Linked DNA regions of Saccharomyces cerevisiae S288C. The protein of the gene in region 1 purifies or fractionates together with the protein of each later gene. This does not show direct contact. Each region holds a gene or a part of one and is shown on either strand. Other genes may lie near its edges.

Region 1 (8,255 bases):
GTATATTCTAATATAAAATGTACGAGCATCATTAACTTCAAGAACATTACGAAGCCCGCAATTAAGTGTCAGTCCATCTGGGTGTAAAAGTTATGTACGCTCGAAACAAATTTTATGTAGTTTACTTTAGATGCAAATGCTATTATATATTTTGCTTTATGATCCTCGGCTTGATGCTCGCCAACGTGAGATAGCTGGTCATCACAATAGATCAGCCGGGACGCTTTTCGATCACATCGAATCCCTTCGGGACGTTGCAACAATACGTGAAAAATGCCTCAAAAATAATAAATACAATGGTGAACAACGTTAAAAAAGCATAAAACAGCTGGCTATTTTGATCAGGATAACATCTATAAGTGCCATATTAAGGCAAGATATCAATTGACCATGCAAACACCTTCAGAAAATACCGACGTAAAGATGGATACTCTCGACGAACCCAGTGCACATTTAATCGAAGAGAATGTAGCTCTTCCCGAAGACACATTCAGTTCACATCTGAGTTATGTACTTTATGAAATTGCTCATTGTAAACCGATCATGTTTATGATCATCATAATCGTGAGTTTGATCTCATTGATTGTGCTTTTTCATGATAACGACGGGTGCACTGTGATCTTAGTGATGTCCCTTATAGTAGCCTCCATGGCTTTAATGGTGGTTGCAGCATTCACATTCGGGAAAGCGATCACTGAACAGGAGTTCATGATAAAGCTTTTAGTGGAGGTGATCGCACGCAAGCCTGCGGGGAAGGAATGGGGTACTGTCGCATATAATATGAACCAATATCTATTCATGAAGAGACTATGGTATACCCCGTACTATTTCTATAGCGGCAAGAAGTGCCATGAGTTCTTCACCACTCTTATCAAGGAAGTGAATTCTGGTTCGCACTCGGATTCCTCATCGAATAGTGCCGAGGATACACAATCACCTGTCTCAGCAGGGAAGACTTCAAATGGTCTAAACAACTTTTATAGTATTAGATCAGACCCTATTTTGATGGCATATGTTTTGAAGGCAACACAAATAGAAAAGGAGGCTCAAAGTGAATACTGGAGAAAGCAATATCCTGACGCTGATTTACCTTGAAGCGGAAGCATTTTATTCACCAAGTATACTTACTTTTCTTTAAAACGAGAACAAGAATCGAATTCAAGAACATCTCGAAGCCAGAATTGAGCATCATATATTCGAGCTGTACAAACATCATGGCCTACAACTATCGTATTTGTAAGTTTTTTTAGAGGTTTTCATATTTGTTTAATAAGGGTTCTGTCAGTTTTTGTCACATTCTATTGTTGCGCTTCGCATAATGCAGCCAAGAAAATCCAAACAATAGAAAAAGAAAAAAAGGATCTCAAAAAGGGTTTGGTGTTGTAGTTATAAGAATAACTAGTGAATAAAAAAGCTGTTGTTTGGTCCGTATTACATTCGTCAAAAATTTAGTACTCAAATCGTGTATGCAATCGCAACCACAAAATAAAAATATTAGACTGGATGTGTTGAGTGGAGATGGTGCCAATTTAGTTGAGGGAAATGTGGTCCTTCCCAAAGACATGTTCAATTCGTACTTAAGTTATTCACTTTACGTGTTACGAGGGGGCTCATTGTAAGCCGATAATGATTATGTTCCTGGCATCTGTAATTTTGATTTCACTGACTAATTTCCGAGTATACCATCTCATGTCCCTTCTATCCTCTTTTTTCATCTCCGGGACAGACCGACAATAAAGCATCTAATATTAGGCTTTCGTTAGAGGTAAGCACACGCCAGCGTTCGGTGAAAGGGGAATGAAACATTATCACGTACAAGATGAATAAATATCTATTTGACCATAAAATATGGAGTACTCCTTACTACTTTTATTGCGAAGAAGATTGCCACCGTCTTTTTCTAAGTTTTATTGAGGGAAGAACTTTCGAGAAGCCAACAAGCAACGCTGAGGAAAATGTACAGGAGACTGAAGCTGGCGAATCTTTCACATTAAATCCCGGAGAAGATTTTCAAAATTGCTTTCCAAGACAGCGGATATTGTAGAACAATCTCAAGTGAAGTATTGGCAAGATATTGGTGCAATTATTTGAAAGGAAGGAGAAATATTCTGACAGTACCTTGCTAGCAAAGGGATTTACCAATCCACTGACGCTAAAATGGGGTAGTAAATTAGATAAATTGCATTCTAACGTGACTTTATATAGTGGGAAACAGATATGTAGCACACAAAACGGCATGATTATGCTTAATTGATTCCTATTTTTTAACGTAAATACTCTCCCAGAACGATCAGAAAACTTAACCCGCAACCATCTTTGCTGTGCTAACAACTTATGTCGCCTCAATACCATTTTTATTTTGTATCATTCCGGAACTTAGTATTGAATGAAAAATGCCTCCGAAGTAAAAAGCAGGTGATGAAAAGTTTCAATTGGTATAAGACAGATCGCTATTTTGATCCGCATAACATCCTTCAACACCATAGCAGAGCTATAGAGAAGACAAGATATAAACTGGGCATGCAAACATCTTCAGAAAGTACCGACGCCAAGTCGGATTTTCTCGACGAACCCAGTGCATATTTAATTGAGAAAAATGTGGCTCTTCCCAAGGACATATTCGGTTCGTACTTAAGTTATTGGATATATGAAGTTACTCGTCATAAAGCGGCAGTAATTTTGCTCGTACTTATTGTGACTTCAATTTTATTATTAGTGTTTTTTTATAATACGGAATTTTGCGTTGCCTTTGAGATACTATTGTTTTCCTTTTGCTTTCCAGGAACATGCATGGTTGTAATTGCATTTAGTGAACCGATCGGTGATCGGGAATTTAAAGTTAAGCTTCTGATGGAAATTATCACACGTAAACCGGCGGTAAAGGGGAAAGAATGGAGGACAATTACATACAAGATGAACCAGTATTTATTTGATCATGGGCTATGGGATACTCCCTACTACTTTTACCGTGATGAAGATTGCCACCGTTATTTTCTAAGTCTTATTAAGGGAAGAACTTTCAAGAAGCAAAAGGAATCGTCAGCCAGCAATGTTAAAGACGCACAATCAAATGACGAAACCGCTGGCACACCAAACGAAGCCGCTGAGTCTTCTAGTTTTAGTGCCGGACCGAACTTTATAAAGCTCCTCACCAAGGCAGCCGAAATCGAACAACAATTTCAAAAGGAATATTGGCGACAAGAGTATCCTGGTGTCGATGAGTTTTTTTAGACAGAAGACGGGAGACACTAGCACACAACTTTACCAGGCAAGGTATTTGACGCTAGCATGTGTCCAATTCAGTGTCATTTATGATTTTTTGTAGTAGGATATAAATATATACAGCGCTCCAAATAGTGCGGTTGCCCCAAAAACACCACGGAACCTCATCTGTTCTCGTACTTTGTTGTGACAAAGTAGCTCACTGCCTTATTATCACATTTTCATTATGCAACGCTTCGGAAAATACGATGTTGAAAATGCCTCTAGAGATGAAAAACAATCGTAAAAGGGTCCTGCGTAATTGAAACATTTGATCAGTATGCAGTGGCACAGAAACAACCAGGAATACTATAGTCATAGGCAATACAAGGTATATATTGGCTATGCAGACCCCTCCAGAAAGTACCGACGTCAAGTTAGATACACTTAACGAACCTAGTGCACATTTAATTGAGAAAAATGTGGCTCTTCCTAAGGACATATTCCGTTCGTACTTGAGTTATTGGATCTATGAAATCGCTCGCTATACACCAGTCATGATTTTGTCCCTGGTAATAGGGGTTTTGGTTTTATTAATTATATTTTTTAATGACAACGAAGCTTGTGTTTTCAATTCTGCAATATTTGCTTTTACTTCTCTTGTAGGTTTGTTAATAATATTAAGTGATGGTAATCCAAAGCTAGTCAGTCGTCGAAATTTTAGGACCGAGCTTTTAGTGGATGTCATCACACGTAAACCGGCGGTAGAAGGGAAAGAATGGAGGATCATCACATACAACATGAACCAATATTTGTTTAATCATGGGCAATGGCATACTCCGTATTACTTTTACAGCGATGAGGATTGCTACCGTTATTTTCTACGCCTTGTTGAGGGAGTAACCCCCAAGAAGCAAACAGCCACGTCAATTGGCAATTCTCCGGTCACCGCTAAGCCTGAAGATGCCATCGAGTCAGCTTCTCCTAGTTCCAGACTGAATTATCAAAACTTTTTGCTCAAGGCAGCGGAGATCGAACGACAAGCTCAGGAAAATTACTGGCGAAGGCGGCATCCCAATATCGATGCGCTTCTTAAAAAGACGGAATAGCTTAGAGACACTACCATACGTAAAGCGAACATAAACTAGAGTATGATATATAATCAGCACTAACTGGCCGGAAAACGGCCGAAGGAAGCCTCGAAAAGTCGATTCGTGTTGGACCCATTTGCTGAACAAAGTGGTTCATTGCCTACCTATTATGGTAGTAGTCGTGATAATCGTGTGGTTGGTTTTGTCAACGGTGCATTTGCATTTTCATGACAATAAACCTTGCGTTTTCGTTCTCGGGATATTACTTTCCCTCCACTTCTTTCGCCTCAATAGCTCCTATAAGCATTCTCAGGGCGTATGTCGGTGATCGAGATTTCCAAGCAAGCTTTTAGTGGAAATCATCGCGCGCAAGCCAGCGGTAAAGGGAAAAGAACGGAGGACGATTACATACAAGATGAACGAATAAATAAATTAATAATAAATAATAATAAAAAGTACAGTAGCATTAAATATTATTAAGTTTAATGATTAAAAATTGGTTAATTGTCAAGAAAATCTAAGGTATTAATAAATAAATAATACTATGACAACTTGCAGCGAAAGCATCAGCCCCAATGAAAATTAATCAGAATTGAATCTGAGCGTATTTATTTGATAACGGTTTACGTAACTGTTGGAATAAAAATCAACTATCATCTACTAACTAGTGTTTACGTTACTAGTATATTATCATATACGGTGTTAGAAGATGACGCAAATGATGAGAAATAGTCATCGTTTTCAACGGAAGCTGAAATACAAGGATTGATAATGTAATAGGATCAATGAATATCAACATATAAAACGATGATAATAATATTTATAGAATTGTGTAGAATTGCAGATTCCCTTTTATGGATTCCTAAATCCTCGAGAAGAACTTCTAGTATATCTACGTACCTAATATTATTGCCTTATTAAAAATGGAATCCCAACAATTATCTCAAAATTCCCCCAATTCTCATCAGTAACACCCCACCCCGTATTACTTTTACCGTGATGAAGATTGGCATCGTTACTTTCTAAACGTAGGACGTGCGGAATGACAAAACCATCAGCAGTGTCACGATCTCTCCAGTCACAATGGCAATCATGAGTGCATAGTCCAAAGTAAAGGGGCAAGGAAAAGCATGATTGAAAGGACTCCCCATCTGGACTCTATATGTCATCAGCGGCTAAAAAAAAGCATATAGCACAACATCAGCATCAGCATCAGCACTAGAGTCATCGGCCCGGCGGTCCGCGGTCATCCCCGCGGACTTTCCGTCCGCCCGGCGGGCTGTATCAGCGTCAACTGGAACGCGCATATATATACAAGACACACATAACATAGAAGCACACCCACGACAATAACCACACGACAATAACCACACCCGCCCACCCCTCCTTTCCGTATACAATGCCAAACTTAAAGAGACTACCCATCCCGCCACTGCAGGACACGCTCAACCGCTACCTGGCACGCGTGGAACCCCTGCAGGACGAGCGCCAAAACCGCCGTACGCGCCGCACTGTGCTCTCCGCAGAAAACCTGGACGCATTGAACACGCTGCACGAGCGGCTGCTAGAATACGACGCACGGCTCGCGGAAAGCAACCCAGAGTCCTCATACATCGAGCAGTTCTGGTATGACGCGTACTTGCTATATGATGCAACTGTCGTTCTCAACGTCAACCCGTACTTCCAACTGCAGGACGACCCAACCATCAAAGACACACCAGAGACGGCGGCACAGGGCCCCTATGGCGCACACACGGTGCAGGTTCGTCGTGCCGCACGACTCACCACCTCTATTCTCAAGTTCATCCGCCAGATTCGCCACGGCACACTCCGCACAGACACTGTGCGCGGCAAAACGCCGCTGTCGATGGACCAGTATGAGCGGCTATTCGGCTCCAGTAGAATCCCTCCGGGTCCCGGCGAGCCCTCTTGCCACTTGCAAACAGACGCCACGTCGCATCACGTGGTGGCGATGTATCGTGGCCAGTTCTACTGGTTCGACGTGCTGGACACACGCAACGAGCCCATCTTCGCCACCCCAGAACAACTGGAGTGGAACCTCTACTCGATCATCATGGACGCGGAATCCGCCGGAAGCGGATCCGCGCCCTTTGGCGTGTTCACCACAGAGTCGCGCCGGGTGTGGTCCAACATCAGGGACTATCTGTTCCATGCGGACGACTGCACCAACTGGCGCAATCTCAAGCTGATCGACTCCGCGCTGTTCGTGGTCTGTCTCGACGACGTGGCGTTTGCCGCCGATCAGCAGGACGAGCTCACGCGTTCGATGCTGTGCGGGACTTCTACCATCAATCTCGACCCGCACCAACACCAGCCGCCATTGAACGTGCAGACAGGCACCTGTCTCAACCGCTGGTACGACAAGTTACAACTGATCGTGACCAAGAACGGTAAGGCGGGCATCAACTTCGAACACACCGGTGTGGACGGCCACACTGTGCTGCGGCTCGCCACAGACATCTACACAGACTCGATCCTGAGCTTCGCACGCGGTGTCACCAAGAACGTCGTCGACATCTTTAGCGACGACGATGGAAAACCATCGTCGTCGTCGTTGGCCTCGGCGGCTCACTCCGCCAACTTGATCACCATCCCTCGTAAACTGGAATGGCGCACTGACAATTTCCTGCAATCGTCGCTGCACTTTGCCGAGACGCGCATCTCGGACTTGATCTCGCAATACGAGTTTGTTAATCTTGACTTCTCCAACTACGGCGCGTCCCATATCAAGACAGTGTTCAAGTGCTCGCCAGACGCCTTCGTGCAGCAGGTGTTCCAGGTCGCATACTTCGCGTTGTACGGTCGCTTCGAGACCGTGTACGAGCCTGCCATGACCAAGGCGTTCCAAAACGGCCGCACAGAGGCCATCCGCTCCGTCACGGGCCAATCGAAGCTCTTTGTCAAGTCACTACTGGACCAGGATGCCTCGGACGCCACCAAAATTCAGCTCTTGCACGACGCCTGTACGGCGCACTCGCAAATCACAAGGGAATGCTCCCAGGGGCTCGGCCAGGACCGTCACTTGTATGCGCTCTACTGCCTCTGGAACCAATGGTACAAGGACAAGTTGGAGCTCCCACCCATCTTCCGCGACAAGTCCTGGACTACCATGCAGAACAACGTCTTGAGCACCTCCAACTGCGGTAACCCCTGCCTCAAGAGCTTCGGGTTCGGGCCTGTCACCGCCAACGGCTTCGGCATCGGCTACATCATCAGAGACCACTCCGTCTCTGTGGTGGTGTCCTCAAGGCATCGCCAGACTGCTCGGTTTGCGTCGCTCATGGAAAAGTCGCTGCTGGAGATCGACCGCATCTTCAAACGGCAGCAAGCTCGCGCAGCAAAACCCGCTGCCAGGACCACTGCTAGCGCCAACACCAAATCAGAAGACATGAAATACCTGTTGTCCGGCTACGATTACTTCGACGTGAGCGTGTCCGGTTGAGTTTATGCTGAGTTTTTGCGCATCAATATTATTTTTACTACTACTACTACTACTACTACTACTACATACTATTAAATATACTAAATAAGAGGAAAACGCTTTGGAAGTGACTGGCGCCGCCGCTGGCTACTATAATAGCAGCGACTGTAATTTAATCTCATCCCGTCGTTTGGATTACCTCTTTTACTCGCCGAGCGAACGTGCACCAAAAAGGGAAAGGAAAAAAAGAAAAAAAAAGGAAAAAGGAAACTCAAAACTTGGATAAATAGAAGCACTCAAACTAAATTAAACTGCCAAAAAAAAAAAAAATAAAAAGGGAAAAGTTTAAACATCAAAGTACACCTTTCACCCCTCCACACACCATGGAACAACCTGATCTATCGTCTGTGGCCATCAGTAAGCCGCTGCTGAAGTTGAAACTTCTCGACGCCCTTCGCCAGGGAAGTTTCCCCAACCTACAAGATCTCCTAAAGAAACAATTCCAGCCGCTAGACGACCCA
Region 2 (6,346 bases), on another chromosome or scaffold:
ACAGATAAGGTTTATAATTTCACATAGATAATTGAGAAAGTTTGAAATATATACCGCTATAGCTCTGAAAATTATGCATTAACATATATTAGAATTGAATTATATCAAAAAAATACTAAGAAAACATCATAATGACAGTAAAAAAAATAGCTATTCTTTATACAGATGAAGATAACGAATGGAGTAAACCATGGGGCAATTTTGTTGATATGGCTATCAAGCTATTAGAACAGACCAGGAAATTGGAATGTATCGCAGAAGATGTCGAATATGAAGTGTTCCACGTACAAAAAAACGTGTTCCCTCAATTGTCAGATCTTCAGAAAGATGAGTATTTAGGCATATACATCACTGGTTCAAAATATGATTCATTTGATAATGAAATTGAATGGATTATGAAATTAAGAAGTTTCTTAAATGAGATGCTAACTAGCAAGACTGAATATCCGCCCGTAGCTGGAATATGTTTTGGTCATCAAGTTATCGCGGCTGCTCTAGGAAGTTCAGTTGGACGGAATCCGAAAGGGTTTGAAGGTGGGGTTGTGTCACTAAAACTGAACTCTGTGGGTCAAAAGTTATTTGGTGCTCAAGAATTAAATCTTTCTGAAGTGCACAGTGACTGCGTGTTCGATGTCCCAGAGGGATACCAAAATTGGGCGTCAAGTGAAAAATGTCAAAACCAAGGATTTTACAGGCAAAACAGAGTGCTGACGTTTCAAGGACACCCTGAATTCAATAGTGATGTCGCTCAGAAGGGGCTTTTGAAGTCTCAAGACAAGCTTACCCTTGAAGAGTTTAATAGATACGAAAGACAGTGCCAGGAGCTGGATAACAATGGCATACAAGCTGCCAGGAATATTTGGAGGTTATTCTTGCAAAAAATATGAAACAGCTGCTTGGGTTATATAGTCGATAGAGGACGTATAGGAAAGATAGCTTATAAGGTTTTTTTTTTTTTCAATTTCAACTAGTGTTGCATGAAGGCCTCGCTACGTCATTTCCTTCATTTCCCAGAATTCTGCAGAAACTTTATCAAATCACTCCAATGATCAGTATCCGAAGGTTCGGCACTACATAGTTTCGTTTATTAAGTCCAATAAATAAGCTTTTTTGTATGCACTTTTTTTTCGCTCATGCATAATGGATATAGCTGACTGAATGTCAGTAGTAATATCTGCGAGAAAATATGACACTAATTCTTGAGGTTTGTTGATTTACGTAATATGGTCCTCGTATAGTTAGAACGTTGTTCTAAAGAGCTAATGGCAGTTTCACTGCAGCGACCAAACAGGCAAGTTACACTCTCTGAGAACTAAACTTCTTGAATTGATGTCTGACCACGTTGGCATTTCCCAGTAAATTCAATAGGCTCAAATTAGCGGAAGAAAGCAATTTGTTATCTTTAATTAACCCTCAAAGAAATAGATACATCAATAAATGTCAACAGAGGCTTGAACTTATTTCACAATTTGTTCTCTTGTCCCATGTCAGGTGTAAAACTGACGGAAAGAACAACGTAAGATAATTAAGGTAAAAACAAAAAAAGGAAAGAATCTAGGCCCACATCGCCTTAGATCCACAACATGCAGAAATAGTAGCATACTTCTCCATTCAAATAACCCATTGTTTGCCTGCTTGAAAAGGAATTTTTTTTTTTTACTTTTTAATAATCCTGCTGTTTTTAGTGGCGTTTTTGTTCTCAACACTTTCCCAAGAGTATTCTCCCACCTCGCAAAATTATGGAATTTTCTTCATAATCAACCATGCCAAGAGCTTCTATAAACACCGGTGTATTTTTCAAGCCAATCTTTCATCTGAGGTTCGTCCAATACATTCAGTGGTATGTCTTTGTCCCGCAAGACTGCAACTAACTCTCCAAAAGCCCTTGCAGATTCCTCTTCAGCTTCTTCTGGATCTTCTTCTGAACTTTCTTCTGAACATAAGCCTGAATTCTCTTTCTCACCTGAAGATGAACATCCTTCTTCAGAGGTAATCACCCCATCTGGCCATGCCGCTGTTTCATTCAATAGAGGATAGTTATCCTCTTTCGGGCTAGCGACATCACCATTTTTATCCTCAATTCTACTTTTCAAGGATTCTTGCGAAGTTATGTCCTTTTTCAAGTGGCTCATGAAATTCTTATTAGTTAGTTCTAAAATTTCTCCCATGCTTGGCAGACTAGACTATTCTTTTCAATGTCCAAAGCCACTACTACGTTGCGTTAGTTTGACTCTTCACTCTCTCGTACTGAAATCCTCTATGCGGAGAAATACAGCGGACGGATTGCGTGACAGGCACCTAATGTATTACTTAAATCCCAAAACTGGAAACTCGGCGTTCTAGAAGAATGGTTTTGATTGACCCATAAGATATTCCATTAGTTGTGTATCGCAAGGACTGACGCAGAGCTAGCATACCTGCTCGAGGATTATACAAGTAGGTGATGCAGTAGGTGATGCCTATAGAACTGGGATGCAACAGGAATTCAAGTGGATAGGGATTATACAGTATCAAGGAGCTGATCTCTATCCGAAGATTAGCGTCTTTAATGGTTCATTCCAAACTGCAGGAAACTAGCAAGCTTTGTAAACTGAGGATGACTTGGTATTACACGGATTTTTGTACAGAATGCACTGAACACCAACATCTTACGCTGCAACAAGATATATCTTAATGACTTGAAAAGTTTATTTTTTTGAAGCTGTTCACTAATAATGTCCTTCATAGTAAAGTCATGGTGGATTGGTAGCAGTTCAAAAATAGGAATACTACGTTTAGATGAATGCATTAAAGCCGGACCTTTCAAGCATAAAAGACATATCTAAAGAAGGCAAAAAAAAACGGTAAAGCAGAAGAAACGAGACGGTAGATACAATTCAAAGCAACATATATTTGAAAAGGGTCTTCAACTTAAAAAAACCCTTTTTCATTGCTTTTTTTTATTTTTTTCCTTAAATTGTTGATGTCAACATGACGTATAATACGTCTCGGTCATTTCACTTCCCCTCTGATTAATAGCCCAGCGGTTAGAATAGCCATTCGAACACAGAAAGCTTCCAATTTGATTATATGGTAGGACTTAAACTTCCCATATTAACGAGTCTTCTGAGCCAAGGGGAATTTAGGACGCTCAAAAGTTGGGTTAATTTGCTTATCTAGCGGTTTTGAAGAAGTACGGGCCATTTAAATGTAGGTTGACAGGAAACCAGCTTTCATCGGTTGGATGATAAAGTACAAATATCCAGAAGAAAACTGCTGTTGCCAAAAAAGTTTTGTTTGAAAAAAATAACACCACAATTTTGCTTCTTCGATGGCAAACTGATCAGAATCAAGAGACAAAGCTGCTGTGGTGGTGTTTTGTTAAACGTGTCTGTGAATGACTTCTTTCCGCTTGCGCACATTTTTCTACTGGCTCTCCTCACTAAATGTTAAGATTTCTGATATATGTGGACCACATTTCACCATTGTTGAAATGGACGGTATGATATGATTCGAATAAGACCTGGAATATGCACTCTAGCATACCAGGAGCTCTGGACATTGTATTCTTCTCATCTATTGTAAAACATCTCTCAATAGTAACGTATGAGTAATGATTCGGAATGGCATCTAGATTAGCAAATACTTGCTTGCTTGTTGAGGATAACCGTAAACTCGTCTGTTCTTAGTGCAAAAACCGTCCCAAAAGTAACAGACGGTAACTCATTCTACATTAACATTGGATGATATGTTGACAATAAATTCCGAGGGACAGCTCCGTTTCCTAGTGAATCTCGGTGGTTGTAATGAGGGTAAATCGCTGAGCATTTTTTTTTCTTCTCTTTACTACACCATTTAGAGTTCTCACTTTGTAAAATTCCGTCCTGATATGAGAATATATATCTCCACGAAGCAATACCAAGCACAAGAAAAACATAGCAATTTTTGCAAGGCCCGGTAACGCAAGATGTGATAACACGCTGCATCATTTTAATTAAGAGCGCGCCACTTCTCCAGATAGTGCTGTATTCATATATGTAAGTGCTCACACTTTCTGGGAACAGCGGAGTCATTAGAAGACTGGCTTCGCTGAAGTTGCTAGAACGAGCAAATTACAACATTATATTCAGCTTCAAGAAAAAACGCAGACAATGGACTCAGGATGATGAGAGGTTCCTTTGTACCACTAAGATCGACTCGTCCTAACCCTATATCCCAATCCCAAGACTAGGCGAACCAACATTAACTGGGCTCGTAATAGGGCAATGATAATGCAAAAGCGGCTCCTAAACAGAAATTCTTCAGTAGTCAAATCTCGAAATTGCCTTGCTCGTCATCAACATGAATCGTCTATATCAAAACTGCATGTTTCTCTACGTCTACACAGATGTTTGCGTCCGATTGTGCGCTTCGATTTTTTACATAATGCTGGAAGCAAAGTTTGCTCTCAGAATTCCTGCCCTTCGCCCCAGTTACACGTGGGGACAATGGCGCTCTTTCATACAGTCTTCATTCTATGGCCGCACTTTTGTGGCATTCTCTGGACCGTCCATGAAAAATTATATAACTATTTGCTTTCTATTGAAGTCTATTGAAGTTAGCGTGGATAGAACGGCGTTACATGGCACATCAGCTGAAGCTAGCGCAAGTAATTTTCAACGCATTCAAACGAAAAACTTATCTAAATACAATTGTAACATACCGGCTTGCTGTGTGTGAACCCCTTTCCCCAATTGTATATCAGAAACGTCTGAGTGGAGGGTGAGGAATCACTCACTACCTTTTCTCCATTCGACGCCTATAAGCAGCGTATTTTAAAGGAAAGGGGAATTAGTGCGGAGATGGGCCAGAAATGTACTCTTTTTTTGGCAGAGTTTTTCCGGGCGGGACAAAACAATGGCGTGGGGTGATGAAATAAGCAAAATTCAATATCCCTTATGACGGAATGGCAGAATTGGCCACCATTTTGTCTTGGCATTCAATATACATACAAATCTTCACTACCGCGATATTGTTGGTAATGGAGATTGCTTTTTGGCCTCCTGGCTTATAGGGCTCTGAGTCTCGTGGTAGTGGAATCCGGCACAGAAACGAGAATCGGATATTTGGGGCCGGGCCATGTACAGGCAAAAGAAATAGCGAAAATATCTCTTATTTTTTTCGCGCTTCCTTTGTAGTAGAAATTATTGGCGATCGGATTACTATTCGCGGAAAAGAAATTAAAAATAGCGAAGAACTTAGAACTATAAGCCTCAAAAGGAAACTTGTGTGGTCGAAGGCTGGACGCCATAATAATATATATATGTACGTATATATATTATATATGAATATCTGTAGCCGCTAACTTGTGTGTTTGTGAATTTATATAGGATAAATAGAGCAAAATTACTCGGCATTGAAAAATGAAACTTCAATTGGCGGCAGTGGCTACATTAGCAGTCTTAACTAGTCCGGCATTCGGTAGAGTACTTCCCGATGGGAAATACGTCAAGATTCCCTTCACAAAAAAAAAGAACGGCGACAATGGTGAACTCAGCAAGAGATCGAACGGCCATGAAAAATTTGTACTAGCTAACGAGCAAAGCTTTTATTCTGTTGAGCTAGCCATTGGTACACCTTCACAAAACCTCACTGTGCTGTTAGACACAGGCTCAGCTGACTTATGGGTTCCTGGCAAGGGAAACCCCTACTGCGGTTCTGTGATGGACTGTGACCAGTATGGCGTGTTCGACAAGACCAAGTCGTCCACGTTCAAAGCCAACAAGTCCTCGCCTTTTTATGCCGCTTACGGTGACGGAACCTATGCAGAAGGTGCATTTGGTCAAGATAAATTAAAGTACAACGAATTAGACCTCAGTGGTCTATCGTTTGCCGTGGCCAACGAATCTAACTCAACCTTTGGTGTGCTCGGGATCGGCCTTTCCACGCTTGAAGTCACCTATTCTGGAAAAGTCGCTATTATGGACAAGAGAAGCTACGAGTATGATAACTTTCCCCTGTTCCTAAAACATTCTGGAGCCATCGATGCAACCGCATACTCTCTTTTCCTAAATGACGAGTCACAGTCCTCCGGCAGCATCCTCTTCGGCGCTGTAGATCACAGCAAGTACGAGGGCCAACTGTACACTATCCCGTTGGTTAATCTTTATAAGTCGCAGGGTTATCAGCACCCGGTGGCGTTCGATGTCACTTTACAGGGCTTAGGACTGCAAACCGACAAGCGCAACATCACATTGACCACCACCAAGCTCCCAGCCCTACTCGATTCAGGCACAACGCTAACATATCTGCCCTCCCAGGCAGTGGCTTTGCTAGCAAAGAGCTTGAATGCCTCGTATTCCAAGACATTGGGTTATTATGAGTACAC
Region 3 (7,371 bases), on another chromosome or scaffold:
GTATTCCATTGGGAAATTTTTTTTGTCTTGCGGATCGCTTTGATTCATTTTAGAAAGAGCCTTAATCTTGTTGTATGTTATATGCTGAAGAAGAATGTTAAGTTTGAAGCTCTATTTGCAGGGCAAAAGATGATCACTTGACTTTATACGCTTTCGTTAAATAGCTTAACCACGCGCTGAAAACTACTATGAGCCCAATGCCAATAAAATGATCAAAGGCGTAAATGAAACCGGTACTGTGTAATAAGCGGAAAAAAAAAAAACAGTTAATTGTTTCAATCGTAATACAAAGCGAAAACCTTTAGTATATTAGTTTTATATGAGCAGTAACTCTTGTTATTCTCCTTCGAACACTGTTCATTTGCTCATCTTTTACTTAACGTTTTTACACATCTTTCTATATTGTATCCCTTTATGAAAAACTTCCAGGCGGTGTCGGCTCGCTTAGAGGGTAATACCAAAATTGTTCAACCCAGGGCCGTCGTTAACCTTGATTCTTTTGGAAAAGCTACTCGGCTGCGGTGGAACTACCTGCAATTGATACAAACAATAGTACAACTTATTACTTTGATGGCTATTAAGCATTATGAGCCCGATAGAGCCGAGGAGGTTTTGTAACAGTGTTTTGTCGCAGTATCTTGAGTGCGTCACACAGGCTTGTGGCAGAACAATAAAGATGTAGCCTTGCGGCTTGAGAAATTTGACCATGCGATGGCACATTGCACCGCGATCCCTGTGATTTTTGACAAAATTTAGCACTAGAGAGCATGATATCAGGTCGAATTTGTCGTTTTCATTTCTCGGTAGCGGTCTTTCCATAAAATCCTGCTTAATAACGCCTTCATGTTCCTCTAAATCTATACGAACCACATTTCTAAAAAGTGCACAACGGGATATGCGATTTCCGGAGCTCAATGAACCAATTTCTAATGCCACTGCTCCAGGACAATTTTCAAATGAGGACCTGATCCATTTCTCGAGCAACTTGGACGTGTCTCCTCCTCGTTCCTTCAATTGCCCGTTTTGACTGGCAATTTGGTAAGTTTCTAGTCCTCCCAATTTATTAATCTGATTCATTATGTAACCAAGTAATGTGTACATCACAGCCAAGTCAGAAGTATCCTTTGATTTGGATTCATTTTTAATTAATGAGTGCAGCCTCAGTAGTTGTGATTCCATAGCATCATTGAAGGACTGCGATTTGCCGTCTTCATAGTACTTGCCCAGTCTTACATTACCTTTAATACTTAACCTGATAATTTTGTCATTCTTCTCCTCGTTGGAATCATCTAGGTTTTCCTTAAGGCATAAAAACTTGCATATCGATTGACGCTTATTAATTAAATGGTGGAATCTTCTTATTATCCTTCTTGTCTTCTGTGGCTTGATTACTCTCGTCACGTTACTTCCTACTTGCTTCCTCTTGCCCGTAATACTCTTCGACTTTCTTGAATGCATTCCGCTGTATTAGTGGTATCGCTAAGCTGATACAAGATTGCCATCAAGGTCATGGCTAGCTCATCGATATTATAATTGTTATATTTTTTTTCACCTCACAAACCCGCCTCAAGGTTAGTTAGTCCGTACTTTTCTTTTTCTCTGAAAAACTTTTCCAGCGATGAGCTTATAAGAATTTCCATCTAAAAAAGTTATATTCGCCAACCTGCCCATCATTATCATCATAACCTCAGGTAGAAATTCTTTAGTCAAATACCGGCATAATCAGTTTTTCCATCATGGGTAAGAAAAGGGCTCCTCAAAAAGGAAAAACGGTCACAAAGCCACAGGAGATAATTGTAGATGAATCCAAATTGAACTGGAAACCAGTAGATATTCCGGACACTTTAGATGACTTTGGTGGATTTTATGGCTTGGAAGAAATTGACGGAGTGGACGTTAAAGTCGTGGATGGTAAAGTAACTTTCGTCACCAAAAAAGATTCAAAAGTGTTAAAAGATAGCAATAAGGAAAAAGTCGGAGATGATCAGGAATCTGTGGAAAATGAATCAGGGTCAGATTCGGAGTCCGAGCTCCTTGAATTCAAGAACTTGGACGATATTAAAGAAGGAGAGTTGAGTGCAGCATCTTATTCATCATCCGACGAGGATGAGCAAGGTAATATTGAGAGTTCAAAGTTAACCGATCCCAGTGAGGATGTGGATGAGGATGTGGATGAGGATGTTTTGAAAGAAAACGTCTTTAACAAAGACATTAATATCGATGATATTTCTCCTGTAAATTTACCTGAATGGACGAATCTTGCACCTCTCTCAATGACTATTTTGCAGAGCTTGCAGAATTTAAATTTTCTCAGACCTACAGAAATTCAAAAAAAGTCTATTCCAGTTATTATGCAAGGCGTAGACGTCATGGGGAAAGCCTCTACAGGTTCAGGTAAAACTTTAGCCTATGGTATTCCAATTGTAGAGAAACTGATCAGTAACTTCTCTCAGAAAAACAAGAAACCAATATCGTTAATCTTTACTCCTACAAGAGAACTGGCGCATCAAGTCACAGACCACTTAAAAAAGATCTGTGAGCCTGTTCTAGCGAAATCTCAGTACTCGATATTATCTTTGACAGGTGGACTCTCTATCCAAAAACAACAACGTCTATTAAAGTACGATAATAGTGGCCAAATTGTCATCGCAACACCAGGTAGATTTTTGGAACTGTTGGAAAAAGACAACACTTTAATCAAAAGATTCTCGAAAGTAAATACGCTAATCCTTGATGAGGCTGATAGGCTGTTACAAGACGGTCATTTCGACGAGTTCGAAAAAATCATTAAACATTTATTAGTAGAAAGAAGGAAAAACAGAGAAAACTCCGAGGGCAGTAGCAAAATTTGGCAAACTTTGATCTTTTCTGCAACATTCTCCATCGACTTGTTTGATAAGCTATCTTCTTCCCGTCAAGTTAAGGATAGAAGGTTTAAAAACAACGAAGATGAGCTAAATGCCGTAATACAACACTTAATGAGCAAAATTCACTTCAACTCAAAGCCGGTTATAATAGATACAAATCCTGAGTCAAAAGTGAGCTCTCAAATCAAAGAATCCTTAATTGAATGTCCTCCATTAGAACGTGACCTATACTGCTATTACTTTTTAACCATGTTCCCAGGTACAACTTTGATCTTTTGTAATGCCATTGACTCCGTGAAGAAATTGACCGTATACTTAAATAACCTAGGCATCCCAGCTTTTCAAATTCATTCTTCCATGACACAAAAGAACCGTTTGAAAAGCTTAGAAAGGTTCAAGCAACAAAGCGCTAAACAGAAAACAATAAATCATTCGAATCCGGATTCCGTTCAACTCTCAACAGTATTGATTGCAAGTGATGTTGCTGCTAGAGGTTTAGATATTCCGGGTGTTCAACACGTTATTCATTACCACTTACCAAGATCTACTGATATTTATATTCATAGATCAGGCAGAACTGCAAGAGCAGGTTCTGAAGGTGTCTCTGCCATGATATGCTCACCTCAAGAATCTATGGGCCCATTAAGAAAGTTAAGAAAAACTCTCGCTACAAAAAATAGTGTTTCGACGGATTTGAACTCTAGATCAACTAACAGAAAACCCATCAAGTGGCAAAACACTGTGCCTTTGTTACCAATTGAAACCGATATACTTTCACAACTCAGAGAAAGAAGTAGATTAGCAGGCGAACTGGCTGATCATGAAATTGCTTCTAATTCCCTAAGAAAAGATGACAATTGGTTAAAAAAGGCTGCTGATGAATTAGGTATTGACGTTGATTCCGACGAAGACGATATATCAAAGAGTAATTCGGACACTTTCTTACTAAAAAATAAAAATAAAAAAATGCAGAAGACTATAAATAAGGACAAGGTAAAAGCCATGAGAGCTACGTTGAACGAATTGTTATCAGTGCCTATACGTAAAGATAGAAGACAGAAATATTTGACAGGTGGGCTAGTGAATTTAGCTGATAACTTGGTCAAAAAAAGAGGTCATAATTCTATCATTGGTCATGAAAAGACAAACGCCTTAGAAACTTTGAAGAAAAAGAAAAAGAGAAATAATTAATCTCGAGGCTTTTGAAGAGAAACTCTCCTTTCACTGTATTTTCTACGTAATATACACGGTCCTCTAAACCCACTATGTACTTTCAACAAAGGAATTAGCTCAATATAGAGCAAAAGGTTTACCAAGTATATATTATATTGTACAAAAAATTAAAAGCGAATTTAATTTAAATCTGGCATCTAGTGATTAAATTCTTTTTGATTCGATTTTTTTCTCCCCCTTTTATTTATTTAAATGAAATCATAGTCGGATCCTTCATCTTCGTCATAATATTCATCCTCAGATTCATCAACTAGTTGTTCAAAATTAACTTTGTAACGCAGCATGGCACCAATACCACCAAAACCTGTGACAAATTGGGCACCTTCTGAAGATTTGTCTGTGATGAATTCCAAGGTAGCACCGAAGTTTTTGTAGTTAGCTGCTAGCCATTCAATTAAAGGTTCTTCGGAGACAACGTCCATTTCTTGGCCGGTAGCTTTGTCAATAGCAAACGACTTGTCCTTGGCTTCTGGTTCAGCGAATTTTATAACCTCATTATCCTCGGCATCTTTAAATGTATATCTGATAGTTTCCAAATTTTCGAAAACAATTAATTTTTCGACTGCACCTAAATCCAATGCCTTTAAAGTATCATCTATACCATAACAGAATTTACCAGTGTCCTGGGAAATTTCGTCAAAATATGCCTCCAATAATTTCTTTTCTTGAACATACTTGACATTGGCCAACGCTTCGGCAGAAAGTTCGATAGCCTGGTTGAAACCGTTTTCACCACCATAAGAAACATCCACGATGGAAATAACCTTACATGCTAGTCTTGGATCGAATAATTCAGATTTAGCCAAATCGGTCTTAAAGTCAGCAGAACCAGCTAAAATTAAACCCTTAACATTGACTTTGTCATTAGTAATAAAATTTTGAACAGCAACTTCGGCGACCTTTCTCACATAATTATGTCTTTTTTCTTCTCTTAAACGAGCAAAACGAAGCGCAGATTGACCACCTCTACCATGCTTTTTTGGCAGATCGACAGTAAATTTATGTAAAACAGTTCTCGTATTACCGGACACAGAACCAAACAAAGTACCTTGACCGTCCATGACTATAAAACCGAACTTGTCGTCAGCTTGAAGCAATTCCGAAAGAACTTCTGTATGAAATTTGTTATCACACAAATATAAGGATGTGTTGATAGGTTTGTAAGGTTCGATGTCAAAAGTGACCTTTTTTTCTTTACCATCTTCAGTGATGATATCACCACAATATAAAACTAAACCGTTCTTGGGCAAAGTATTATATAGCTTCAACTTTTGTTGGGTGGAAGTGATAGCAGATAAAACGGAAAGACGATTAACCCTAGATTTAATATTCGAGGCAGTACCATATTCATCTGTTAACATTTTTTGGTACAGTGGAATTTGACCCTTAGGAGGAATAACTAAGGAAATCATAGAAGTACCATTACCTCTAGCTTTTTCTAAAGATTGGACCAACTTCTTGACCTTCCAGATCTCAATATTTTTTTCAACCTCGTTATCCATTATTGAAGTATTTCCTTTGTCTATTTCTGTAGTCTTAATAAGGAGACAAGCCGAAATGAATTAAGAAATAAAGGTGTCGTTAAGGCCACACCAACAGTATATCAGTTAAAAATACAGTGATGTATTTCATTGATTTGACGCTTAGCACTGGATTTCTGAAAAAATTTTTCATTCAGGGTCAACGGAATAATCCGGGTAATAAAGACGGCGCTATCAAACGGTATTACTGAAAAATGTACAAATGATGAGAGAGCAAGTGACTTAAGTATTCTTCGTACATGCGGTAGCGACAGATTGTAGTTTATGATCTGGTTATAATACCATGTATAAATTGGAAGGATCTAAGCTAAAGTAAATTATGAATTGAATACTGCCCTTCAAAAATTAGATTTTGACAGGATGCTTTTTAACAAGTCTGTTATCCTCTTCATGGAATCACAAATTTAACCAGATATTTGCAGCAGCTATTGGGGGAAATGATGTAGCTAAGGTCTACCTCATACTGCTCATATCCAGCTTTTTACTTACTTTTCGTTTCAAGGCTCCCATACTATCTATAATGAGTAGAAATATCAGATGACTATGTCATTTTGAAGTTGGTTAGAATTTGCTTTTTGGTTTCGACAGCATGTGCACATTCATCATTGACCTTCGCTAAAGGTAGCGCCACCAAAAAGGAGCAATGAATTGAAATAAAGTTCTCAGTCCTCTACTTGTCCAGTTCTTGGCACATTGTAGAGTCTTACGTCAAATGTTCTGTTGGCTCACATACGTGCTCTTCGTATTTTCCATGAATAACTTCAGCTATTTATGTAAATGACGCTCATACTCTTTATAAATCTGAAAATAAATAGCACGCATATACAAAGTGGATCAAGAGGCGTTATATCCAAACATTTCAGACAGAAGATTATATAATGTAACAGAAAAAGTTTTAAAAATTTTGGAATAAAGGAAAAGGTGGTTGGGGAAGAGAATAGAGCTACAGCAAGTAAAAAGGTGCTTTCCTCGAAGTTGCGTCGAAGATGAATGAAAGTAGTTGCTAATTCTTACTAGCACATGAAAAAAAAGGATATATATAATTTTACAAGTAGTGTCTTCATGACGGATTCATAGTCTATCCAAGCGTTTGCCCAAAATTTTGCAGTAAATTTAATGTTTTCTGTATAGGATAATGGTGCGCCATTCAAGTCCCGCGAAAAATGACTGATGTCTACAGGACAGGGGCGCAATATATGTTCTCTGACATTGCACCTTTTGAATATATCATGTGTTTGTTCTGCTATCTGCTTGTAGAAGGGTACGCTAACAGAGCCGGCGGCATTGTAAAAAGTTCTCCTTTCGCGGAAGGATGAGTCAAAAAGCATGTGACAATGAAATAATCAAATTGTGACATCTGCTGACGCGGGATCGTTCCTTCGTATTGTCTAGATTGTAATCTATATAACATACTACGAATATAAAAGAGGGACTACAAGATATTTCTAGCGCAAACTACTGCTTTACTGTCTCACAATGTCTCTGATTGGAAGATACCTAAGAAAATTATTTAACTACATATCTACAAAATCAAAGCATCATGCCTTCGCAAGTCATTCCTGAAAAACAAAAGGCTATTGTCTTTTATGAGACAGATGGAAAATTGGAATATAAAGACGTCACAGTTCCGGAACCTAAGCCTAACGAAATTTTAGTCCACGTTAAATATTCTGGTGTTTGTCATAGTGACTTGCACGCGTGGCACGGTGATTGGCCATTTCAATTGAAAT
Region 4 (9,763 bases), on another chromosome or scaffold:
TATTATTATTATTATTATTATTATTATTATTATCATTATTTCCATTTGCCGTGTCATTTTGTTGCGAAGGACCTTTGGAATTGTAGTTGAATTTAAACTTGTAATTTCTATGAGCATAATTCCCGATAATACGATTGGCAGGATCCAGTATGGAAGAAGACTGTGCAGACGAAGCGGGTGTTGCAGAGCTATTGTTACTGTCCTTGTTAACACTATTGCTGCTTACATAATGGAAAATAGACCTTCTTAAGGAATGCGCAGGATTATTGATGTTGCTGTTGCTATTGGTATTGTTATAGTTGCTGTTGTTGGAAGTAGTGTTGTTGAGGTTGTTGATGGTAATAGTGCTGTTATTGGTGTTATAATGTGGCCTCAAAGTGGAATTAGAGTTGGTATCGTAATGTGATATATTGTCCATATCTCTGATAGTGTACCTTGTGGGCACGGAATCGAGGTGATGATGGCGACCGGGGTTGTCATCTTGATAATGCAAAGCCCTATCGTTTTCCGAATCGAATGAGATTTCCAGCGATCCGCCTTGCTTTGTTGCTGGGATGGCCATCTTCGGTGGTGGTGGGGGTGTAGAAATGAACAATTTAGAATCTTCACCTGAGGTCATTATACTTTGTACGTCATCGTCATTTAATAGGTAGACCTCATTCTGCTGTTGAGGGTTATCCGTTGCTGCTACTGGATCATGGAGATCGGTACCGTTATGGTTGTCCTGTGAAATGAGATGCAAATGCGAATGTGAATGAGAATATGGATTGGTATTGGAAGAACGAGAGCGAGAGCGAGACCTTGGCTCATTCAATTGCATTGTAGAATCATTCTCTTCATCACTGGAGTCCTCGTATGTGTCTGCATGCTCATAACAATTGTAACATACTCGCATCTTGGCATGACAGCCGAATCGATCACCATCTATCAAGAGAGTGCAACTGCTGCAAAAAATTTGGCCGCATATCCTGCAGTGGTGTTTCCTTCTGAAAGTGTTAAACGTTTTACCACAACTGAAACATTCTTTAGAACTCTCGTCCTTCATCCAATATTCCTTTGAGAGGACACCATTGTTACTGGTCTTGTCCTTCTTGCGGTTGTTATAAAATGCGAACAGGAAACTCTTGGACAGGGATGCGGTCAACGAAGAAGAGGCACTCTTTATCGAAGACACTTCATCGCCAACGTCGTCATGATCGCTGTCAGGAGTGCGCGCATAGGAATTCTGCATGGAAATTGGCCGATTGTTCCTAATGGGGATAGCAGTAACAGTGGATTTGGAGGCATATATGCTAGATCGTTTAAAGTTGGAGTCGTTCTTAATGGGCAGCTGCAGCGAGTGAGAAGGCTTATAGCGACTCGGATATCTCTTGATGGTGCTAGAGGGTATCCTCCCACTAGTTGTTGGCGGCAAATTTTTCTTATTCACGCTGGTACTAGTGTTAGCATTAGCTTTAATGTTCGAATGCGACGCAGTGCCGGTCACGTGACTTGTTGATGTCGCTGTTGCTATCGAGGATGATGTGGGGGGGCTTATTTTTGGCACGGAGATATTGCTCAGAATTGGGTTTGTCACTAGATCCGTCGTAGTCGACGTCGTAGATGTCGACATAATGTGCAGGGACGGTTTCTTAATATAGTTCGGTCTGGATAAGGTAGCATCGATTGTGTTCACAGATGAAGTACCAGTGGAGGACGACCGGACATGTGAGCCATCTGGAAAGGATATAGATGCATGGGGTTCTTCCGATGACATGCTGTGTGACGGTCTTGCATGTACAGGATGGAAGCTACCTTGCTATTCGAAATAGTTTTTTGTTTGGCCCTTTATTTACTTTCCATATGGTTTTCGCGTTCGTCAAGAAGTACATTGCGTTTGCGTTGCCTTCGAGGCGAGACGAAGGAAGGAACATAAGAATATAAGAAGCAAAGGAATAAGACGGCTTGTGATACATTTCATGGGAAGAAGAGGGGGAGAGGGAGAGTTAGAGAGAGTCAACAGAAAAGAAATAAAAAGACTGAAAAGGTCGTAAGCATGGGAATGAAGTACGTATTGCCTTTGCGACTAATTGGTCTAGCGTACCTGTTGGTGCTATTTCAGGTGCATAGGGTAACTGGGTGGGAGTTGTCATATGAGCAGTACCATGCAGCGCATCTGAACGAAGCTATCAACCCAGACAGCGGTTGGAACAAAAGTACCAAGAACCTGCTGTTGCCTTTTAACAGAACGCGCGTACCCGGATCGGAAGGCTCGCGCGAGATCCAGCGCTTCATCATCGAGCACTTCAACAATACGCTGGCGGGAGAATGGGCCGTTGAGACGCAAGCCTTTGAGGAGAACGGTTACCGCTTCAATAACCTTGTTATGACATTACAAAACAATGCGAGCGAGTACTTAGTGCTCGCTGCTCATTATGATACCAAGATAGCGCCCACGGGGATGGTGGGCGCTATCGACAGTGCCGCCTCGTGTGCCGCGCTGCTATATACGGCCCAGTTCCTAACGCACATCGCGTGCCACGAGCGCACGAAAGAGTACAATGACTTAGAGTCGAACACTGTAGTATCGAATTCTACCTTGGGTGTAAAGATCGTATTCTTTGATGGAGAGGAGGCCATTGAAGAGTGGGGCCCCGAGGACTCGATTTATGGAGCACGCCGATTAGCCGCCCAATGGCTTGCTGACGGCACGATGACAAGAATTCGCCTATTATTTCTTCTGGATCTTTTAGGAAGTGGCGAAGAGGAGCCGCTAGTGCCCAGCTACTATGCAGAGACACATCAAGAATATCAGCTGCTCAATCGAATAGAGGATGACTTGTTATTTCGACGTGGAGATGAAATCAACGGCGAATCGGCATTAGCCGCCGAAGTCGCGCGTCAACGCAAACATCTGGACCCCACGGACTATCGATTTTTAGGGCTCGGGCATTCGGTCATCGGAGACGACCACACGCCATTCCTGGCCGCCGGAGTACCCGTATTACATGCAATCCCGCTACCATTCCCAAGTACATGGCACACCGTGGATGATGACTTCCGGCACTTAGACGCCGCGGAGACTCGTCACTGGGCGCTGCTTGTGTGCGAATTTGTAGTACAGTCACTACGCTCCCGTAACCAGTGATAAATCCCCTGTTTCCTTTCGTTAACATCTCCCCCTGATCTGGGGGATGTGGGGTGGAATGAGTGGCCCGGTCAATGTCAGTGCACCACTCTGAAAAGCTTGCACACATACATATACATATATATATATATATATGTAGGTATAGTAAAGGTTTGCCTGAGTAATTTTTGCGCGAGAGATCTACTATCAGCAGCGATGAGAGCAGCTACATAACACATAGTAAATCACACATCTACGCAACACACACACACACGCATACACTCACCCTCATGACAGATCCCCACTTGAACACGCCCCAAGTGAGCACGTCACCCACATTTGAAAGATCACAGGACTTCCTCAACATCGACGAACCGCCCTGTGCACAGGAAACACCTAGTGTTTCTACATTCAACCTCCCGGGTCCAAGCGCTCCCGCTCAAAGCGTAGACAAGCCAGTCCCCATGATTAGACGGCGGTCTACCAATTATATGGACGCACTAAATTCCAGGGAACAAGCCCGGGAACGCGAAAGCAGTATCGGGGAGCACGCCCCGGGAGCCGAACGTAGGAGTAGCGGACCCATGGATTTCCAGAATACTATCCACAATATGCAATACAGGACCACTAACGACTCTGACCTGAGCCACGCTGGCGTGGATATGGGTGACTCCATCTCCCATACACCGATCTGTTCTCGTGCTGGCAACAGACCCATTTTCAAAAACTCGTACCTTGACAACAACAGCAATGGTAACAGCGCAAGAGTCCCACACGGCTCTCCTCCACAGTTGGGCACGCGTAGAAAGTCGTCTTTTAAGTACGAGGACTTTAAGAAGGACATCTATAACCAGCTTCACATGTTTGGAGAGAAGTAAAGCCTCCCTAGTGTCGTCCACACCTACCCACTCATACATATGTACGTAACGTCAATCTCTTTAGCTTCTTTTCTACATTTTTTTGTATATGTACCAAAACGTTGCGCATATTCTTCACTCATTTGCTCCCGTGGCTCGGCGGCTATTTTTCTTTTCCTACGGAGCGGACTGTGGTGCTTACGTGATAACAAACAACCCGAGACAAGATCCAATCATTGTCTGACTGGTATTCCTGCCACCATATTAAAAGATAAGACGGTCGAAAGATAATACATAAAGATAGGTGGAAATTGAGATAAAACCAGTCCAAAAATTCTAGATATATCTAGATATAGAACCAATTTTTTTTTCCCTTGTTTTTGATATGTTCCTTCGCTATCCTATTACGTTATTCATTCTTGCATTTCTGATTCCCTAGACTTGTTGACCGCCTATCGCCATTTAAGTTACCTTCTTTATTATATATTACTATATAGTGTTGACATGAATATTGTCAATTATAACAGTTAATTCCTATTTCAACGGGCACAAGTTACAAAAAAACTTAATCTGTTTCAGATGTCATTTTTATTTAGTAAAACTTGAAACGTACAATAAAATGACAGCGATATCGTGTAGAACTATCAATTCATTTCAATGGATTTCTGTACCCTCACGAATAGTTTAGATTATGTTATATAGGCGTGGTGATAATGCGATACTTTTTTTATTGACATAGTATTCATGACAGTACCTCTGCACAAAATAAAGTGTTTTCCGCGATCCGTACCTAACGTTGCCGCATGTTCGGTGAGAATTGGGAGAATAATTTGATAATTACTGGAGTTTCATTGTTGGTAAAGGCTATAATATGATGAATACAGAATGTACTAAATCCTCTCATTTCAACATATACGACCTAATTTTTATGAAGCTCCCTCGTCTTATTTTGTTTTGAATACTTGCCGGTGGTAATCGCATCATTTTCAAATTTAATTTCAAAATTATATATTCTAACTCTCAACTCCTTTCAATCTTGAGGTGCCCGCTGTTGTAAACAAGACTTCAGACCTACTAAAAAGGTGGGGAGTGCTCAAGAACTCGGATGTAAACTAACTAATAAGTGCTTATTGAGAAAGATAAGAATACAGAGACAATTGTTGCCTCGTGGCGGGGCTATTTACAGGTATTTCTGGTTAATGTTGGAGCTGTTGTGACCTTATTAGAACACGAACACTTCCAAGAAATAAGCGCAAGTGGTTTAGTGGTAAAATCCAACGTTGCCATCGTTGGGCCCCCGGTTCGATTCCGGGCTTGCGCAGTCCTTTTTTTAAGGATAAATTTATCCTAAAGCTTCCGAGAATATAACAGACAAGATGAAAATATTTGTTAAGTTTCTGAACACGAAATTGTCGTATATTTTCCCTTAATATTTCGTAGTCACTTCGCATATAAGCAAGTGGTTTTATTCCAGAACACTTTCTCTTTTTAAACCTGTTAGCAATTATTGTACTGGTGTGCTTGATTACTCTGGATTAAATAAAGAGTGACATGGTAGAATCTTTGACTGTAGAAAATCAGGAACACAATGTTCAACCCCCATCGGTAACTAGTGCTGGAGATTCGTATTCGACACTTGCTACAGATCTTCCCTTACCAAGTACGAATGATATTATAGAAAGTCGAGATCAACTTACAGAAAGTGACTTAGATGAAGCGATAAATGCCACTGAGAATTTTGCACAGGAATTATCATCTCAAAGGAAATCTTCTAAATTGAAAGGTCATAAAAAGAAAAACCAGGGACAAATAAAGGCGAATCGTGACAGAGATACTATTGTAAAACTTTCCAGTTCTGTTGGTGAAACCGAGGAAGCTTCCACACGGGATGCAATCTCTCATGATTTGGAAAGAAAAGACGACGTAATAGAGATAGCCACAGATACAATAAATGACGCTACAGAATCTCCCACACAGATCCCAATAGACGTCAATGTAGTTATCAAAGAAACTTCTACTAACAATGTAGCGGAAGGCACAGAAAATGTACCACCAATCAAAGAATCCACAGGAATTGAGGTTGGCAATAGCCCAATTACGAGAAGAAAAAAAAACAAAAAGAAAAAAACCACGAATAGAAGAGGTCGTAATTCTTCAAATCCTGCAGATACTACTGATTTGTCAAAACAGTCAACTTTAGATTCCATACTAGTAGGCATTGAAGAGTACCTACAGGAAGATGGTTCAAAGAACGAGGATATCAAAGTAAATATTGTCCAAGATGAGCCTGTTAATGTCGAAAAAATGGATATCAGAACCAGAAATGAATCTAGTGACAAAACCTTCGACATAGATGTGCCTAACAAAGATAATGTTGACGAAACTTCCTCAAAGTCCGAGAACAATATCAACGAGGAAAAGGCAGAACATACCTTACCTCGAGAAGAGAATGAGATCTTAAATGTTAATGAGGGAAATGCAGCTTCTTTTAAACACCAACTAGAGCCGCACGGTTTGGAGGCAGGTGATGAAAATGGGCAAGCGTCTACTAAGGATGTTGAAAGTGAAAGTTTAACTAAGAATGGGTTTAATTTCAAAGAGAACGAATCAAAACATTTGAAAGCTGGGGAAAAGCAGCAGACTGAAAGTGATAGAGACGGAATAAGTCCTTCAGTTCTTGCAAAAAATCAGAAAGAAACAGAAATCGGGAAAGAAGACCATGTTTTTGAACAGAAGGATAAAGAAGACGAAAAATGTAGGAAAGAATTATCTGTTAATCATGAGAATAACATGAGCCATAATTTTAACGCAGCTGGTAGTGATAGTATCATCCCTCCAGAAACTGAGCGAGAGACTTATGATGACGAAACGATGGGACCAACAAAGCGCATTAGTGACAATGAAAAAAATCTACAACACGGTACTAACGATATATCTGTAGAAGTTGAAAAAGAAGAAGAAGAAGAAGAAGAAGAAGAAGAAAATTCGACTTTTTCAAAAGTTAAAAAAGAAAATGTAACCGGGGAGCAAGAAGCTGTAAGAAATAATGAAGTGTCCGGTACCGAAGAAGAATCTACATCAAAAGGAGAGGAAATTATGGGGGGAGATGAAAAGCAGTCAGAAGCGGGAGAAAAATCTTCCATTATTGAAATAGAGGGAAGCGCAAACTCTGCAAAAATTTCTAAAGATAACCTTGTTCTTGAAGATGAAGCTGAAGCACCTACTCAGGAAAACAAGCCTACGGAAGTTGTCGGAGAAATCGATATACCTGACGCGCCTAGGGATGATGTAGAGATTGTTGAGGCTGTGGAAAAAAATATAATACCTGAAGATCTCGAGGTTGCCAAAGAAGATCAAGAAGGGGAACAAGTCAAGCTGGATGAACCTGTTAAGGCCATGAAAGATGATAAAATAGCAATGAGAGGTGCTGAGTCTATCAGTGAAGACATGAAAAAGAAGCAAGAGGGGACTGCTGAGCTTTCCAACGAGAAAGCAAAAAAAGAGGTTGATGAAACAGCAAGAGAAAGTGCAGAAGGTGTAGAGGTTGAGAAATCGAAGACTCCTGAGTCTCCAAAAGTAGTTAAGCGTTGTACCTCCGGAAGACCAGAAGATCTTCAAATCAACGAAAGAGATCCTGAGGTTCTAAAGGAAGATGTTAGAGTTCCCGATGAAGATGTAAAGCCAGAAATTGCAACAACCATTGAGAATTCCGAAGAAGAAGATCCCAAATCCCAGCGCGTTCAAATTTCAACAGAACAAGCTGAAACTACACAAAAGGATATGGGAGATGTAGGATCTACTACTAGTTTCAAAGAAGAAGAAAAACCCAAACGCTTTGAAATTACACAAGAAGGCGATAAAATCACCGGCAAAGATACAAATCATGAACATGGTGAAGCTACTGAGGCTGCGAGCGAAAATTCAAAAGCAAGTGATGTTGGAACTGCCGAAAAATATATAGAACCTAGCAGCGAATCTGTCAAGAAGGACACCGAGGAAGATGCAGAAGTGGAGAATTCCGAAAAAACTGAATTTATCAAGGTAAAGGCAGAGCTTGAAAATCTTGACGCTCCAAAAGAGGCAGAAGTCACTGCTGAACTGAATAAAGAAAATGAAGATGTGGAAGTTGACACCGAGGAAGATGCAGAAGTGGAGAATTCCGAAAAAACTGAATTTATCAAGGTAAAGGCAGAGCTTGGAAATCTTGACGCTCCAAAAGAGGCAGAAGTCACTGCTGAACTGAATAAAGAAAATGAAGATGTGGAAGTTGCTGCAACTTCAAAAGAAGACATCGAAACAAAATGTTCGGAACCTGCTGAGACTCCAATAGAGGATGGAACATGTACGGAGGCAGAAGTTTCAAAAAAGGATGCGGAAGCCGTGACAAAAGAAGACGAGAATATGGAAAATTCTAAGATTGCTGAGGCGCTCAAAGATGTCACCGGAGATCAAGAGATCGACGATATCAACATTTCAGACGAATTTCAAAGGACAGTCGAATTGCCAGAATTGGAAAAACAAGATATAAAGGATAATAAAGGAGAAGACAAGGAATTGGAAGTAGAAGAAACAGAGAAAGAAACTTCTCTTCCTGATCTTGTAGTGGAAGAAAACATCACGGAGGAAAAGAATGAAATTAAGCAAGAAGAAGAGGAGGTATCCCAGTTAGACTTCAATGAAACAGAGTCAATCAGTAAAGAAGCCCCAAACAATGACGAAAATGGATTTGAAGATCAAAGTACAAGGGAAAATCCCAAGAAAGCAAGTGCAGATGACATCTTCAAAGATATTTTGGACGAAACGAATGAGTTTTTAGAGCAACTAAAAATTGTTGATGATTCTGAACTAAACGCTCTACTCCAATCACTAGATGCGAAAGACTCCACAACTCAAACTACTGAGCAATCCAAGAAAAACAATGACAAGCCACAAGACGTAATAACGACTAGCGAGATCCGGAAGCTGAATGAAAAGGAACCTGTATATATATACACGTCACTAGCCGGAGGCGGTTTCCATATGATCCCCAGAACAAATCGCTTAAGCACAATCCTGACGGCCAACCGAATCCCGTTCACCTACAGAGATCTTGGCACAGATGATGAAGCGAGAAAAGTTTGGAAGACTTTCAGCAAGGGTAGGAGTCTTCCAGGTGTGGTCAGAGGACACAATGACTTAATCGGGAACTGGGAAGAAATAGAAGAAGCTAACGAAGACTACAAATTGCGGGAACTCATTTACGATACTATTTAAGAAAGCTTAAGCGCGCTACGTAACTAACATAATCTCTTGACAGCACATGTGATTTATAGTTCTCCTCCCACGTTTAACCCACATAAAACAAGGTAAAAGAAACCTTGTCAAATAATTGCTCTATTGACAGGAGCAAAGCTTGCCCAAAGAGGTTGCACAGAAGCGCCGTAAACGGAATCTTTCAGGGGCACAATTTCCCGATCGGTACGGCAAAGGCAAAAGCCACCTGCGCGGCTACTCAGGGACCATTTCCTGCCACAGAACTTCCCGTGAAACATGCCCCGGCCTATGGGTTCCTGGAACCCCCCACAAGTAATACCCCTTGGAGGATTTTTCAGAAAGAAAGCGAAGCTATTGTTAGCTGGTCAATTGAATAAGGGCAGACAAGAGGCTGTATGACTACAGTTGCATGCGGAGACGGCTTCAACAGCAACAGCAACAGGAAGTGTTCACACCAACGCACAGCCTACACCGGTGTATATAAACATAAACTCCTTCTTTTCTTCCCGCAACGGTTCTTCTTATTACCTTCCACTTTTTTTTTCAT

Evidence for each region.
Region 2: the proteins of YAT1 (region 1) and YLR125W fractionate together in Saccharomyces cerevisiae (co-fractionation; one large-scale study listed by BioGRID). This does not show direct contact.
Region 3: the proteins of YAT1 (region 1) and SUP45 fractionate together in Saccharomyces cerevisiae (co-fractionation; one large-scale study listed by BioGRID). This does not show direct contact.
Region 4: the proteins of YAT1 (region 1) and AIP5 fractionate together in Saccharomyces cerevisiae (co-fractionation; one large-scale study listed by BioGRID). This does not show direct contact.

What each region holds. Positions count from the first base shown.
Region 1 is NC_001133.9:184,502-192,756, forward strand, and holds YAT1 (carnitine O-acetyltransferase YAT1), read left to right. Parts: upstream 1-5,691; coding exon 5,692-7,755; downstream 7,756-8,255. Other genes in the region: KTD1 (DUP240 family protein), read left to right, coding at 391-1,095; DFP2 (DUP240 family protein), read left to right, coding at 1,820-2,044; pheromone-regulated DUP240 family protein PRM9, read left to right, coding at 2,335-3,231; DUP240 family protein MST28, read left to right, coding at 3,606-4,310; YAR035C-A (uncharacterized protein), read right to left, coding at 7,836-7,916; oxysterol-binding protein related protein SWH1, read left to right, coding at 8,118-8,255. UniProt on the Saccharomyces cerevisiae protein: Involved in the transfer of acetyl-CoA into mitochondria. May also be involved in the metabolism of acetate and of ethanol.
Region 2 is NC_001144.5:389,306-395,651, reverse strand, and holds YLR125W (uncharacterized protein), read right to left. Parts: upstream 2,169-6,346; coding exon 1,758-2,168; downstream 1-1,757. Other genes in the region: YLR126C (putative amidotransferase), read left to right, coding at 132-887; YLR122C (uncharacterized protein), read left to right, coding at 4,321-4,698; YPS3 (aspartyl protease), read left to right, coding at 5,382-6,346.
Region 3 is NC_001134.8:526,581-533,951, forward strand, and holds SUP45 (translation termination factor eRF1), read right to left. Parts: upstream 5,603-7,371; coding exon 4,289-5,602; downstream 1-4,288. Other genes in the region: GTPase-activating protein IRA1, read right to left, coding at 1-48; BMT2 (25S rRNA (adenine2142-N1)-methyltransferase), read right to left, coding at 445-1,458; MAK5 (ATP-dependent RNA helicase), read left to right, coding at 1,737-4,058; YBR144C (uncharacterized protein), read right to left, coding at 6,655-6,969; alcohol dehydrogenase ADH5, read left to right, coding at 7,182-7,371. UniProt on the Saccharomyces cerevisiae protein: Component of the eRF1-eRF3-GTP ternary complex, a ternary complex that mediates translation termination in response to the termination codons. The eRF1-eRF3-GTP complex binds to a stop codon in the ribosomal A-site.
Region 4 is NC_001138.5:176,495-186,257, reverse strand, and holds AIP5 (Aip5p), read left to right. Parts: upstream 1-5,514; coding exon 5,515-9,216; downstream 9,217-9,763. Other genes in the region: FAB1 (1-phosphatidylinositol-3-phosphate 5-kinase), read right to left, coding at 1-1,756; YFR018C (uncharacterized protein), read left to right, coding at 2,036-3,127; IGD1 (Igd1p), read left to right, coding at 3,397-3,984.